Kluyveromyces lactis: one gene and its partners. The protein of the gene in region 4 interacts with the protein of the main gene of each other region in a pairwise test. Links are inferred from orthologs where the notes say so. Each region holds a gene or a part of one and is shown on either strand. Other genes may lie near its edges.

Region 1 (2,405 bases), about 310 kb from region 4:
TTGCTTCGAATATCTGGGATACACCTACATCTACTCCAGCACTTCCGAACACCCTGCTATCTTCCCAAGTTGCAGCAACATCTGTTGACTCATATGAGGAAGTCCTAGCCAAGACCTATAAGATGCTTTCTCCAGACAATAGTTTCGTTCCCTTGGACAAGCTATATCAAACATCATTGACTCAAATTAATGCCAAATCAGTACTGTCGTATCCCCAATTCATTTCCACTTTGGTTTCCATGAAGAATTCATACAATACTGAACTTTTGAATGATAACACGGGTTTATTGGCGTACTGCAGAATGGGTTCTGTTCCAGTACCATCAGGATTGCCTTCTTATAATAGACAAAATACTTTCCCTCATGCAACCACTCAAGTTCAGTCAGATTCGCAGCAAATAAACTCAGTTTCAACTCCTATATCGAACCCGCTACCTCAACCATCATCGGTATTTAACGATGTTCATTACAACCAAACAGCTACTACTTCACCAGCGAATCACGGGAATCCAATTCCAGGCCCAACGTCAACAATCGCATCAGATCCTTCGAACTTCGTGAACTTTGGTCAATCGTATCCAAACTCATATCAAACCGGCAATATCTGGAGCTGAATCATCCGATCCAACTAAATTATTTAAACGAGTGGATAGAAAAGAGAACATATCCGTTAAAATTTATTCCTTCTTCGTTTTACGTAGAACTGTAACGTCCAATATAAATGTAACAACACTATTATCTTTTTTTTTTCAATCAGACACCATCAATTGATAGATCATCATTGAATATTTGAACTCATTCAAAAACAGGGCTATAATTAATTTTAATAACTAAGCATAGTCCTATCTATTACACTGTCTCATTGATCACTTCTTCCTTTCTTTTTCGGGCTTCTACTGCTCGGCGGAACATGACAGACATTAATATGATATCATTTCGAAAAATAAAAGGCTCTTTGAAAAAGGCTAGAAAAAATGAAACTTGAAAGATAGAAAAATAGAAGGTTTGCTGTTTTAAAGAAATAAGAAACTGATTTCGAAGAATAAACATAGCGTACGCTCGAAGGAAACAAGGTCGAATCTTCCTTTATTTGCATGTATACGTGCCACCCTAATTTTCTATTTGCAATTGGGTACTTGAAAGTTTGAAGCAGTTCTCTGTTCTGGCACGATCTTACACTACGCTGTTTTCCAAACTTTGTCGGTTTTTGAATTTTAGCTATCAACATAATCAAGAAAGACGCAGTATCACTGCAAAACTTATGCAATATCATAAAATATGTCTACCAATCCAGTTAAAAGGAAACTAGTTATTATTGGTGACGGAGCATGTGGGAAAACATCTTTGTTATATGTTTTCACTTTGGGACAGTTTCCAGAAGAATATCATCCAACTGTCTTCGAGAATTATGTAACCGACTGTCGAGTGGACGGTATCAAAGTTCAACTAACACTATGGGACACAGCTGGCCAAGAGGAATATGAAAGACTAAGGCCCTTCTCGTATTCAAAGGCCGATATAATTCTCATTGGTTTTGCAATCGACGACCCGGAATCATTGGTGAATGCAAGAAATAAATGGTCAGAAGAAGTTCTCAGATATTGCCCTGAAGCTCCAGTAGTACTAGTTGGGTTGAAGAAAGACTTAAGATCACCGGATAATGAACATCAGATGGTAACACGGGAGCAAGCGGAGCAAGTTGCCAGGGCCATTGGTGCTAAAAAATATATGGAATGCAGTGCATTGACAGGAGAAAACGTTGATGATGTTTTCGAAGTAGCCACAAGGACAAGTCTCTTGGTAAATAAACAACCAGGTCACGGGTGCTGCGTAATATGTTGATACGAAAGAAGTGCTCATACATAAAAAATAAACTACAAACCAACACATACTATCTAATTCTTCTTTCTGCCGTATCTCGAGGCCGGACACTTTGTCTCGTTTGATCCAGCTAATTCAATGTTTCTAAATTGAAATCGACTCTAAATTAGCCCCCTCGCATAATAATTAATAAATTGGATCTCGTCAACGAATTTTTTGCTGCCTTCAGTATATATATGCAGTATTCTTCTTTGATTTATGTCACTTTTTAATATCAGCTGTAGATATGCCATCTAGTCTCTTTCAAAACGTTTTTTGGTCTTAGTGCGTTTTGTTACGCGTACTTTAATTCTAGAAAAATAAAAACAGGAAAAACATCTAAGGCTTTTGATGAGATCTAATGAACACTTCTATCTTGCGACAGAAGGAGTAGGGAACCAGGTCTTGTGTCTGTTTTATCAATACTGACTAGTACTCTCCTAAAATCTGATTAAATCATTAGCTGTCATTGGAGCTCAGGATTAGTGAAGAGAGCGTTTTTTCTGGTGTGTCTTTTTTGGACGTGTTGCTGATTTAAGAATGAC
Region 2 (2,535 bases), on a different chromosome or scaffold from region 4:
ATATTTATATAAACTATTGAGCTAAAAGTCAATTAGAAGCCTGAGAGGTTAAATATATCATGAGATAATGAAATCCACACACGAAGAGTAATTTCGTTGAGGTTTTATACTTAAACAAAGCGATACTCCATAGTGTTTAGTTTTTCGCTTCGAACCAGTTTCGTATTTTAGACGGTTTAGAATTCAAACAAAGAACCAAACGTTTGGTACTTCAGTTTGTCTATAGAAATGTCAAAGAGTTATGAAGTAGTTTTGGTAGTTTTAGGATGTTGGTTTAGTGAAATGTAACGCTTTTTCTGGAGATGGGGGGTAGAGCTTTTTTTCTCTTTTGAACCTGCAAAAACTTGGAAACACACTCTCTATCTCACAATCATCTATAAATATAAAACTGGACTTGATGGTGAACGGGAAGATTGTTAAGAACGCTCATCCTTGAGTGAGAAACTTCTTACCTGATACATGTACTGGTAATAAAAAAAAAAAATACAAGGCCGATCACTTTTCACAATATAATACATTTTTTACTCTTTTTAATGACTGGAGGTTCCAGAGCAGCAACAATAGCTTCGTCGAAAACGTTTTTCAAACCACGCTGGGTAAGAGCCGAACATTCAACATATTTTACGGCTCTAAGCTCTCTGGCTAACCTTTCACCTTGCTCTGGAGTGATAGGACGAAGCCTTTGTCTCTGTAGTTTTTCAATAATCACTTTATCATCTCTTAAATCTATCTGAGTACCCACAATCAAACATGGAACACCAGGACAATGATGATGTACTTCTGGGAACCATTTTTCTTTTACGTTCTCAAAAGAAGGAGGAGATATAACACTGAAACAAACCAAGAACACGTCTGTTGATGGGTATGATAACGGTCTTAATCTATCATAATCTTCTTGACCAGCTGTATCGAAAAGACCTAGCGTGTATGGCTCATCGCCAATCATCACCGTAACAGCATAATTGTCGAAAACGGTTGGAACGTAGTCGGCTGGAAACTGGTTAGTTGTGTATGAAATTAGAAGACACGTCTTACCGACAGCACCATCACCTATAACAACACACTTAAGAGTTTGCATGTTTTAAATTCCTTTCTTCCTTGCTTTTATACTACTATCACTGCAGGCCTTTACGGTGTTACTTCCGGCTGACTGTGCTATGTCTAACATCCAATTTGTCTGACTACTCTCCTTCATCACATACATATCTTCGTCCTCCTGTTCTGTTATTTCAATTTTGAAATGGGAATATGTTAATAGATAAGGAAGTTAGGGTAACGTTGTAACGTGACTTGAATTATTTTCAGTCAAACTCTCCCATATAGAATACAGGAAGACCGCATAGGCGGTTGGCAGTCCGGTAGTGAGGACACTAGCCTTGAAATGCGTACGTATATTTGTCTATAGATTACTTTGCATATGGTTATCTCACGTTTACTCGAAATGCTACATGCTACATTATATTGATTGATATTGACCAATCTTGAACTTCGGAGGAACCATGAAAATTCAAAGGGCATTTATGACGTTATTGACTTATTCGTCTTCGTCACTGTCTTCTTCATCAGATGATTCTTCATCTGCAGTCTTTAGCCAGTCCACCCATTTGGCCAGTAGAGCAGTAACTTCGCTGTATTTTGAATCACCGCTTACAGAGTCCCACCATTTGTAAATGACATCTTCCTCTAAGATATCCAAATCATACAAGACATTATATACATGGAATAGAATGAAATCTGGTTTATCGAATTTCTGATCTAGCACACGATCCAGAATGATATTCATTAGATCAATGAACTCATCACTATCAAATGCTTGTCTCTTAAACACAGGACCCCATTGTTGTAAGACTTTAGTGACAGCGTCCTTTGGACCTAGTGTTTGTGTGGCTACAAAGTGGTAAACTCTTCTGAATATAGCGATAACAGAAGCATTCCTGACTTCATGATAAGTGACGTTCATACTCATTCTCAAAGTGTTTAGTTCAAGCATTGATGTGTCTAAATCGTGGTTGTTCTCTATAGCTCTTTCAACTGTTGCGATGGCTTCTTTTTCGAAATCTTCTTCTTCGTCTTCTTCTCCTTCGTAATCAGTATAGATACTAGTCATCGACATGGTTCTCCTCTTTCTATGTTTTTGAGTGATGGATGATATGGAAGTATCCGATAAATAAATGTCATCGTCTCTGTACGTTAATGTGTTCGCAATACCCTTTTCGGTCGATCCATCTTCATCTTCATCCTCATCATCACTTTCGTATAGTACGCCTCTCCCGTTTGGCCCAACCAACTGCTTAGATAGTTTAATCTTCGCATCGGCAACTTCATCGGAATTACTGATTGATAAAGAAGATGAATTTCTGGTGAATGTGCTTCCTTCTTCGTCCTCATCGCTGGAAGAAAGATTATGTGCTGTATCTAAGAATTGAGCTGTGTTCCTCTGTACTGGAACCGCTGAAATCTTGGTTCCAACTGGGATTGTAACATTATCGTCAATCACTACATTGAATCCGATAATGGAACCATCATTCAAGGTGA
Region 3 (3,326 bases), on a different chromosome or scaffold from region 4:
GAAGCAACGACACTCAAATCAATGTCACCCTTCGATGGAGAAGCTCTCTTCACTTCAGCCAAGACTGCTGTTTTCTCAGTAGCAGTTAATCTTGCATAGAAATCTTGTACCCTTGGAGCTAAACCTAACTTATAGTTGGCTTCTAAATCAGAGAACCGATAACCTGGGATCGTCGATTGCAGTTGAACGTCTTCACGGCGTTTTTCGTAAATAGTTTCCAAGATAGATTTCGCTTTATCAGTGCTGGCTGTCTTTCCGAGCTCATTCCTAGCCAAGTTAGCTGCGTTCTCATCCCAAGTACCTCCTGATACTTCAAGAATATTCTTGATCATTTGATGCCCACTCTCGGTCAAGATAGATTCTGGATGGAATTGCACACCTTCCACAGTGTATTTCTTATGTCTCACACCCATAATAATTCCAGTCTCCGTTCTTGCACTAACTTCAAGCACATCAGGAAGTGTTTCCTTGGCGCCAGCAAGCGAATGGTACCGCGTCACTGCGACACCTTGAGGTACTTTTCTAAAGAAACCTTTTCCATCATGGAATATTGGTGAAGTCTTACCATGAACAATTTCTCCAGCAAAGCTAACTTCACCGCCAAAGACATCAAACATACATTGCTGACCCATGCAGACACCAAACACAGGGACTTTGCCGCAGAAGAATGCGATACAGTCTCTTGATATCCCGGAATCGGTCTCTGGATGACCTGGACCCGGTGAAATCATGACAATATCAGGGTTCAATGCTTCAACTTCTTCCACAGTAATCTTATCATTTCTGAAAACTAAAACTTCAGCACCCTCAGTGCAAAGATATTCATAGATGTTCCAGGTGAACGAATCGTAGTTATCGATCAAAACAACTCTTTTAGCGGACATGATATCAAATTAATGCGAAAACCTAGTTCCTTTTTATCACAGTATAGTGTAGTTGCCCTACTAGATAATTATCAACCAAATATAACCAATCGATAAGAAATTATCGAAAGTTTCTTCTTACAATTATTTCAATGCCCTTTAAGGGTTCCTTTAAATATAAAATCGTCTTGAACATGAGATGATTAACTGGTTCCACATCACAATTCGAGATGAGTCAAGAGAAAGCTTTGATGAAATGAGAAATTGAATCGAATTTCGTCCTAAATGATAAATATGTATGTGATGTACGGATGTGTCAACATTCAAATCCACATTCTTAAGGCAATTGTGCATCGCTGGATTGATTATTCCGTAATCTGACTTCCAAGTAACAATCTATAACCTCTGTTCAATTAGCTGAGCCCCTCTATCATCCATCAAATGCTCTTTCACCGTCGAATACCTACTCTTTCTCTGTTTCCTCCATACTAAATTCCAGATTCCTCAGAGTAACGAATTTAGAATCAGATCGGAAACGTGAAACTTTAAACAAACAACTAACACGTAAACAACACAATTAACAGAAGAGCTGCTCAGAGGTCTTATTAGCACCTAATTTCTGTCGGGGTATTGAATTGGGAAACAAAAGCACTGCTACAATTGTAATTTAGACAGAAATGGCAAGTATTATTCAGGCATCTGCCGCTTTGCGTAAACGGAAGAACTTGAAGAGAGGAATTCAGTTCACGGTGATGGTTGTTGGTCAGTCTGGGTGCGGTAGGTCGACGTTCATTAACACTCTATGTGGACAGAAAGTGGTAGATACTTCTACCACGATTATGTTACCAACGGACACAAATACGCAGATTGATGTGCAATTGAGGGAAGAAATCGTTGAGTTAGAAGACGAAGAAGGTCTTAAGATCCAATTGAATATCATTGATACTCCGGGATTCGGCGACTCTTTGGATAATTCTCCATCGTTTGACATTATCTCTGATTACATTCGTCACCAGTACGATGAAATTTTGTTGGAAGAGAGCCGTGTAAGGAGAAATCCTCGGTTTAAAGATGGTAGGGTGCATTGTTGTTTATATTTGATCAATCCTACTGGACATGGATTGAAAGAGATTGACGTGGAATTCATCAGAAGACTAGGTACTCTAGTGAACGTGATCCCCGTTATCAGTAAAGCAGATTCCTTGACCGCTGAAGAGTTGAAATTGAACAAGAAATTGATCGCAAAGGATATCGACTATTATTCGCTACCTATCTACAACTTCCCATTCGATGAGGAAGACGCGTCAGACGAAGATTATCAAACAAACACATATCTCAGAGGTTTACTGCCCTTCTCTATCATCGGTTCCAACGATGTGTTTGAATCTGCAGACGGGTCCGTGATTCGTGGTAGAAAATATCCATGGGGAACCCTTGACGTCGAGGATGCTAACATCTCTGATTTCGTCGTCCTAAGGAACACTCTACTCATTTCACATTTACACGATATGAAGGAATTTACTCATGAGATCCTATACGAAAGATACAGAACTGAAGCCTTGTCCGGTGAGATGCCAACTGTAGGAACTACGACTCATAACAGAGCTTTCAGCACCACGAACAACGAATACCTAGGATCACCCGCTGTATCTGGTAGAGAATCTGTGAGGGGCAATGGATTACCATCTGCGTTGGGGAACAATGATTCGACTTCTTTACATTCTAACAACGCGTCATCGAACCAGGACACTTACTTGGCAAGAGAAGAACAAATCAAGCTAGAAGAAGAAAGATTAAGGGTTTTCGAAGAAAGAGTGCAACAAGAATTGCAATTGAAGAGACAGGAATTGCTGCAAAGAGAGCAAGAATTAAGAGAAATCGAAGAGAGGCTAGAAAAGGAAGCCCAATTGAAACAGGAAGGAATCAAATTGGAACAATAAGTTGTTGTCCCTTCCTGCACACTAAATAGAACTACATATTTCGTTTCTTTCTTTAACCTATACCTCAGTTATTACCATAAGATAGATAAAGCATTACGAACCATTTCAGGCTACTGGCTGCTAGTCGTGTGCTACACTTTATCGATGCCCTAACGATCAAGCAAAACCTCATTCATTTAAGAAAAAAATTCCCGAACGAAAACCATATAAAAGCCACTTACTTCGAGGCCGAAAATAAGACGAAAAAGACGGTAGAAGGATGGCTTCTGAGCACCAAATGGGTAGTACCAGGGGTACCAGGGATACCAGGTGTACCATGACCTAGTAAATCTCCTTTACATTATCTCACACAGCATGCCAGGAGGCGTGTGCCGTGTTCTGACAAGAAAACATCATGTATGAAGATGTGGGATGGAAAAGCTTTTAGATGATGAGTAACCAGATAGGGACAACAGATATTCGTTTAAGTGACGAGGAAAGTCTTTTAATTGCCCAGTTTTTAGTAGAGCTTGGGCGCACTCTG
Region 4 (3,591 bases):
TGGAAGTCTCTATATCCGTCACATTGAATGGAACTTCTTGGAAACGATAAATGTGTTAACTCATGGAAGTTTTTGATCGCCAAGAATAATTCTTTTAAATTGACTGTTTCTGATACCAATCCTAAATCAAGGTATTTAAGGTTTTGGCAGGATTTAAGACTGATCAAAGGAGCTATTCCAAAACTAGTCTGTGGCGCTGTAAATGAAACCAAATTTTTAGAGCAACGTCGTAGCACTTTTGACACATAGCTATTCTTCCCACTCTGTATAATAGGAGATAAATCCAAATGAACTACGTGCTCACATGTTTTTCTCTTCCTATCTGCCAATACCGTTTCCACAAACTTTAAAAAGTTTCGACTAGTTAACTTTGGTGTACGATATAATTTTGGTATGCATATAAGATACCATGCTCGACACACTAGCACTAAGTTCATCCTGATATCTTGCGGACTCATCATAGAAATCGTAAGGTCAAATATTTCTAGTGGAAGCTTCATACCACCGTAATCAGTTACATCTGATCGGACAGAATCTCCCTGTAGTCGTGATTCCTCGCTATCAGAAGGATTACGTATTTCGTTTATTTGTAATTCATTAAACTTTTGGATATTCGTTGTGTCATTTTCTTCAGCTATTTGACTGAACCCTTGAGTGTGTGTGAATCCAACACCGCCAACATATTTTCTATAAGGAGGCTTTACTTTCTTTGGCCTTCTTTTATTAGCCATAGTTTCTTGAAGCCGTCGGATATGTTCTCATAGATGGACTATGTGAAATATATTACTTACCTTATTAGTTTCTTAGCAATTAGTCGATGCTTTTACTAATGCTCAACTTTTGCGATTTTTCACTATTTAAAAGTGTTTGCAGCTACCGAAAGTATTATTATGTGTATGAAATAATAGGTCATCTGACCTATTACAGAAGGTCACTTACCGAGTCCTGTTAACTCATGCCATAATCAAGATAATATTCGAGAGAATTCTAGTCATGGGTTGTCAAACCAGTATTATTTTATGACCTTACCTTTCTTGTTTACCTATGTGTGTTGTTGACATTTATGAGTAGAATCTTAAAAAGTCAGCAATTGTATGTTTAAAGATCGATCATTGAAAGTGCGGTCTTGGCGAGACTGTCCACTTTATAAAAATGATAACCACGATTAAAGCCCATAGTCCATTGTCCAAAAATGGAATATGAGCAGATACTATTTGGTTTGCAACCATTGCTCAATGCAGCTAATCCAAAGGATGTTCCTGTCCAGGACGTCTTTTTACAAAGTTATATTACAGTTCTTGAACAATTAGCGGTGCATCTACGTGCTGAATCAAACAGAGACCTTATTAGAGAAACTGGTCTATTAAGTCAATTGTTGAGGGTACTAAATTCCTTTTTGGATTATGCATTCCAAGAATCAAGTAAACGGATACAATTTCTTCAAATCTCTTCAGAATTAGTAAGATCCATTGCAAATTGCCTGGTTGATAATGATGCTAATAGGGAGGTATTTTGGAATGGCGACTGTACCAAACATAACGAATTTATCGACTACTACGCTGGCAGGATACTTGGTCTATTTGACGAGGAAGACTACGTTGTTAAATTGCAATTGAGGACAGTTGTTTTAATTTCTAACTTGGCCATGGATAACGATACCTATTATGAAAGAGCAGCAAGAAGAGTAGCTGTCCCACTTTTCAAATTGATTATTTCTATGAAAAATGTATTTCTAGACGAACAGTACAACCTACTTGTCGGAACTTCTTTTGACCTCTTATGCTCCTTTGTAGATCATAAGAAGTTTTTATCTTTGGTTCAGCTCGTTTCCCTTTCTGAAGTTTTAATTCAAGTCTGTAAATGCATTGAAAGCACTTCCAATATAGCAGTTTGCAATTCTGGAGAAATTGATACTTCGAAAAATGATGCGCAAATTGAAGAAGTTGAAGATGAAGAGGAAGATACATTTTTACCCAGCTTGGTCAATAATATCTCACATTGTATATTGAAGACTTCTGAACCTGAGGATTACAATTTTTCCGATGAGGTCAACACTTCTATCCTCCAACACAATCTATTAACATCACTCGAAAATCTAGGCTCAAAAGAATTTGATAACCAGTTGATCATTAATAGGGAGATACTCTCTTCTATTGCTAACGTTTCTAGTAATAAATCCTACTCCAATGGGAAAGATGTCGATATTTCCATCAAATTGCTACAATGTCATAAGTCATCATACGCCGCTGCATCAGCGTTGATAGTCATTTCCAATTACGTCTCTGATGCTCAGAAGGCAAATGAGATCAATAAAAAACTATCTTACGACATTATTGTCAAATCAAGTACAACAATTCGAGACCCCATACAATTCCAAGGTTTGTTATCTTTGTTGAGAAAGTTACTTAAACCAGATATTATAATGTTCACTCCAAACGAGACATTGGCGCAGTTAAGTCAGCTACTAGTTATCTGCCATGATCAATCAAATTACTATCAAGGTCTCTCTCCAATATTAGAAATGTTGTTACAAAAATTATTGGCCGTGTCAACTGCAAAGACCCTGACAACTATGATAGCTGCTGTACCAAGATTTACTGAAGTGCTATCTAATAGAGGAATAATATTATCTTGTCAGGCCATTGACAAATTAGCTAAAAAGCGTGATCTTGAAAGCCCGTTGTCGGTTGATCTGCTGGCCAAGAAAGTATTTGAATATTGTAAAAACATAACTCTAGACAACTTGTTGCAAGATCCATTCACCACATTTCATATATTAAGGTCTACGGGCATATATATAAATGAAACCCCAACAGACGAACAAGATGAAGTGTTTGACAAGTACTCAGATGTAATTTTTAAGCTTCTTGAAGCATCTTTGTCAACCAAAAGCTCAACGGAAACAGCTGCAAAAGCAATCTGGAATAATGGTAGGTATCTTGCTGGCATGGTCATAGCCTCTAAATGCTCTACAATCCCTAAAGAAGTCAAAGATATAGCTCATCAATGTTTCCAATAAGTTTAAGGTACCGCATATGTGTATAATAAATACCATGTTTATAGGTAATTATTAAGTTACCCGGGCAAAACATTTTATGTCTTAGCGCATGGCAACCTTAAAATTTACCTGCTGGATTTGAAGCCTTTCACAAGAGACAGACTTTGATTAAGAATTGAAGAGTTCTATAAAAACCATTGGGTAGGAGCTGAGGCAACACAAGCCTTCACTAAGGGAACTTGTTTCGTTATGCAAAATGACAACGAATGTAAGCTATTAGGTCCAGTTTCTATTGCCATACAACTGCTGATGGCCTTTCTGATAATATGTTCGTTATTATTGAAAAGACAATCAGAGCATCCCAAGAGAACGTGGGTAGTTTGGTGCTACGATGTTGGAAAACAAATCCTTGGTGCTTTGAGCATACATTTCTTGAATGTACTGATTAGTGTGCTTAAAGGAAGTAATTCCCTTGAGGATGCTATTATTTTCATTTTTAGGGCCGGATTGAAATTAATGACTAAGGATGGTGGATCTGACTCTGGGGACGAATGTGACTGGTTTTTTTTGAACCTATTATTAGATACCACTGT

Evidence for each region.
Region 1: the proteins of BEM4 (region 4) and RHO2 interact in a two-hybrid assay, tested with the Saccharomyces cerevisiae proteins (2 studies listed by BioGRID). The link is inferred for Kluyveromyces lactis from reciprocal best matches to the Saccharomyces cerevisiae genes BEM4 and RHO2.
Region 2: the proteins of BEM4 (region 4) and CDC42 interact in a two-hybrid assay, tested with the Saccharomyces cerevisiae proteins (7 studies listed by BioGRID, with this or other methods). The link is inferred for Kluyveromyces lactis from reciprocal best matches to the Saccharomyces cerevisiae genes BEM4 and CDC42.
Region 3: the proteins of BEM4 (region 4) and CDC11 interact in a two-hybrid assay, tested with the Saccharomyces cerevisiae proteins (2 studies listed by BioGRID). The link is inferred for Kluyveromyces lactis from reciprocal best matches to the Saccharomyces cerevisiae genes BEM4 and CDC11.

Annotation. Positions count from the first base shown.
Region 1 is NC_006039.1:1,182,134-1,184,538, forward strand, and holds RHO2 (Rho family GTPase RHO2), read left to right. Parts: upstream 1-1,278; coding exon 1,279-1,842; downstream 1,843-2,405. Other genes in the region: NST1 (Nst1p), read left to right, coding at 1-614; TOP2 (DNA topoisomerase 2), read left to right, coding at 2,401-2,405.
Region 2 is NC_006037.1:381,741-384,275, forward strand, and holds CDC42 (Rho family GTPase CDC42), read right to left. Parts: upstream 1,079-2,535; coding exon 503-1,078; downstream 1-502. Other genes in the region: GCD6 (translation initiation factor eIF2B catalytic subunit epsilon), read right to left, coding at 1,535-2,535. UniProt on the Saccharomyces cerevisiae protein: Involved in development of cell polarity during the cell division cycle, and essential for bud emergence. Affects signaling in the pheromone-response pathway through the STE20 protein kinase.
Region 3 is NC_006038.1:1,258,284-1,261,609, reverse strand, and holds CDC11 (septin CDC11), read left to right. Parts: upstream 1-1,540; coding exon 1,541-2,803; downstream 2,804-3,326. Other genes in the region: TRP3 (bifunctional anthranilate synthase/indole-3-glycerol-phosphate synthase), read right to left, coding at 1-884. UniProt on the Saccharomyces cerevisiae protein: Septins are GTPases involved in cytokinesis that assemble early in the cell cycle as a patch at the incipient bud site and form a ring approximate 15 minutes before bud emergence, which transforms into an hour-glass shaped collar of cortical filaments that spans both sides of the mother-bud neck.
Region 4 is NC_006039.1:869,575-873,165, reverse strand, and holds BEM4 (Bem4p), read left to right. Parts: upstream 1-1,192; coding exon 1,193-3,019; downstream 3,020-3,591. Other genes in the region: PFU1 (Pfu1p), read right to left, coding at 1-731; KLLA0_C10076g (uncharacterized protein), read left to right, coding at 3,248-3,591. UniProt on the Saccharomyces cerevisiae protein: Probably acts as a GEF (guanine nucleotide exchange factor) for the Rho family of small GTP-binding proteins (G proteins) that stimulates the dissociation of GDP to enable subsequent binding of GTP.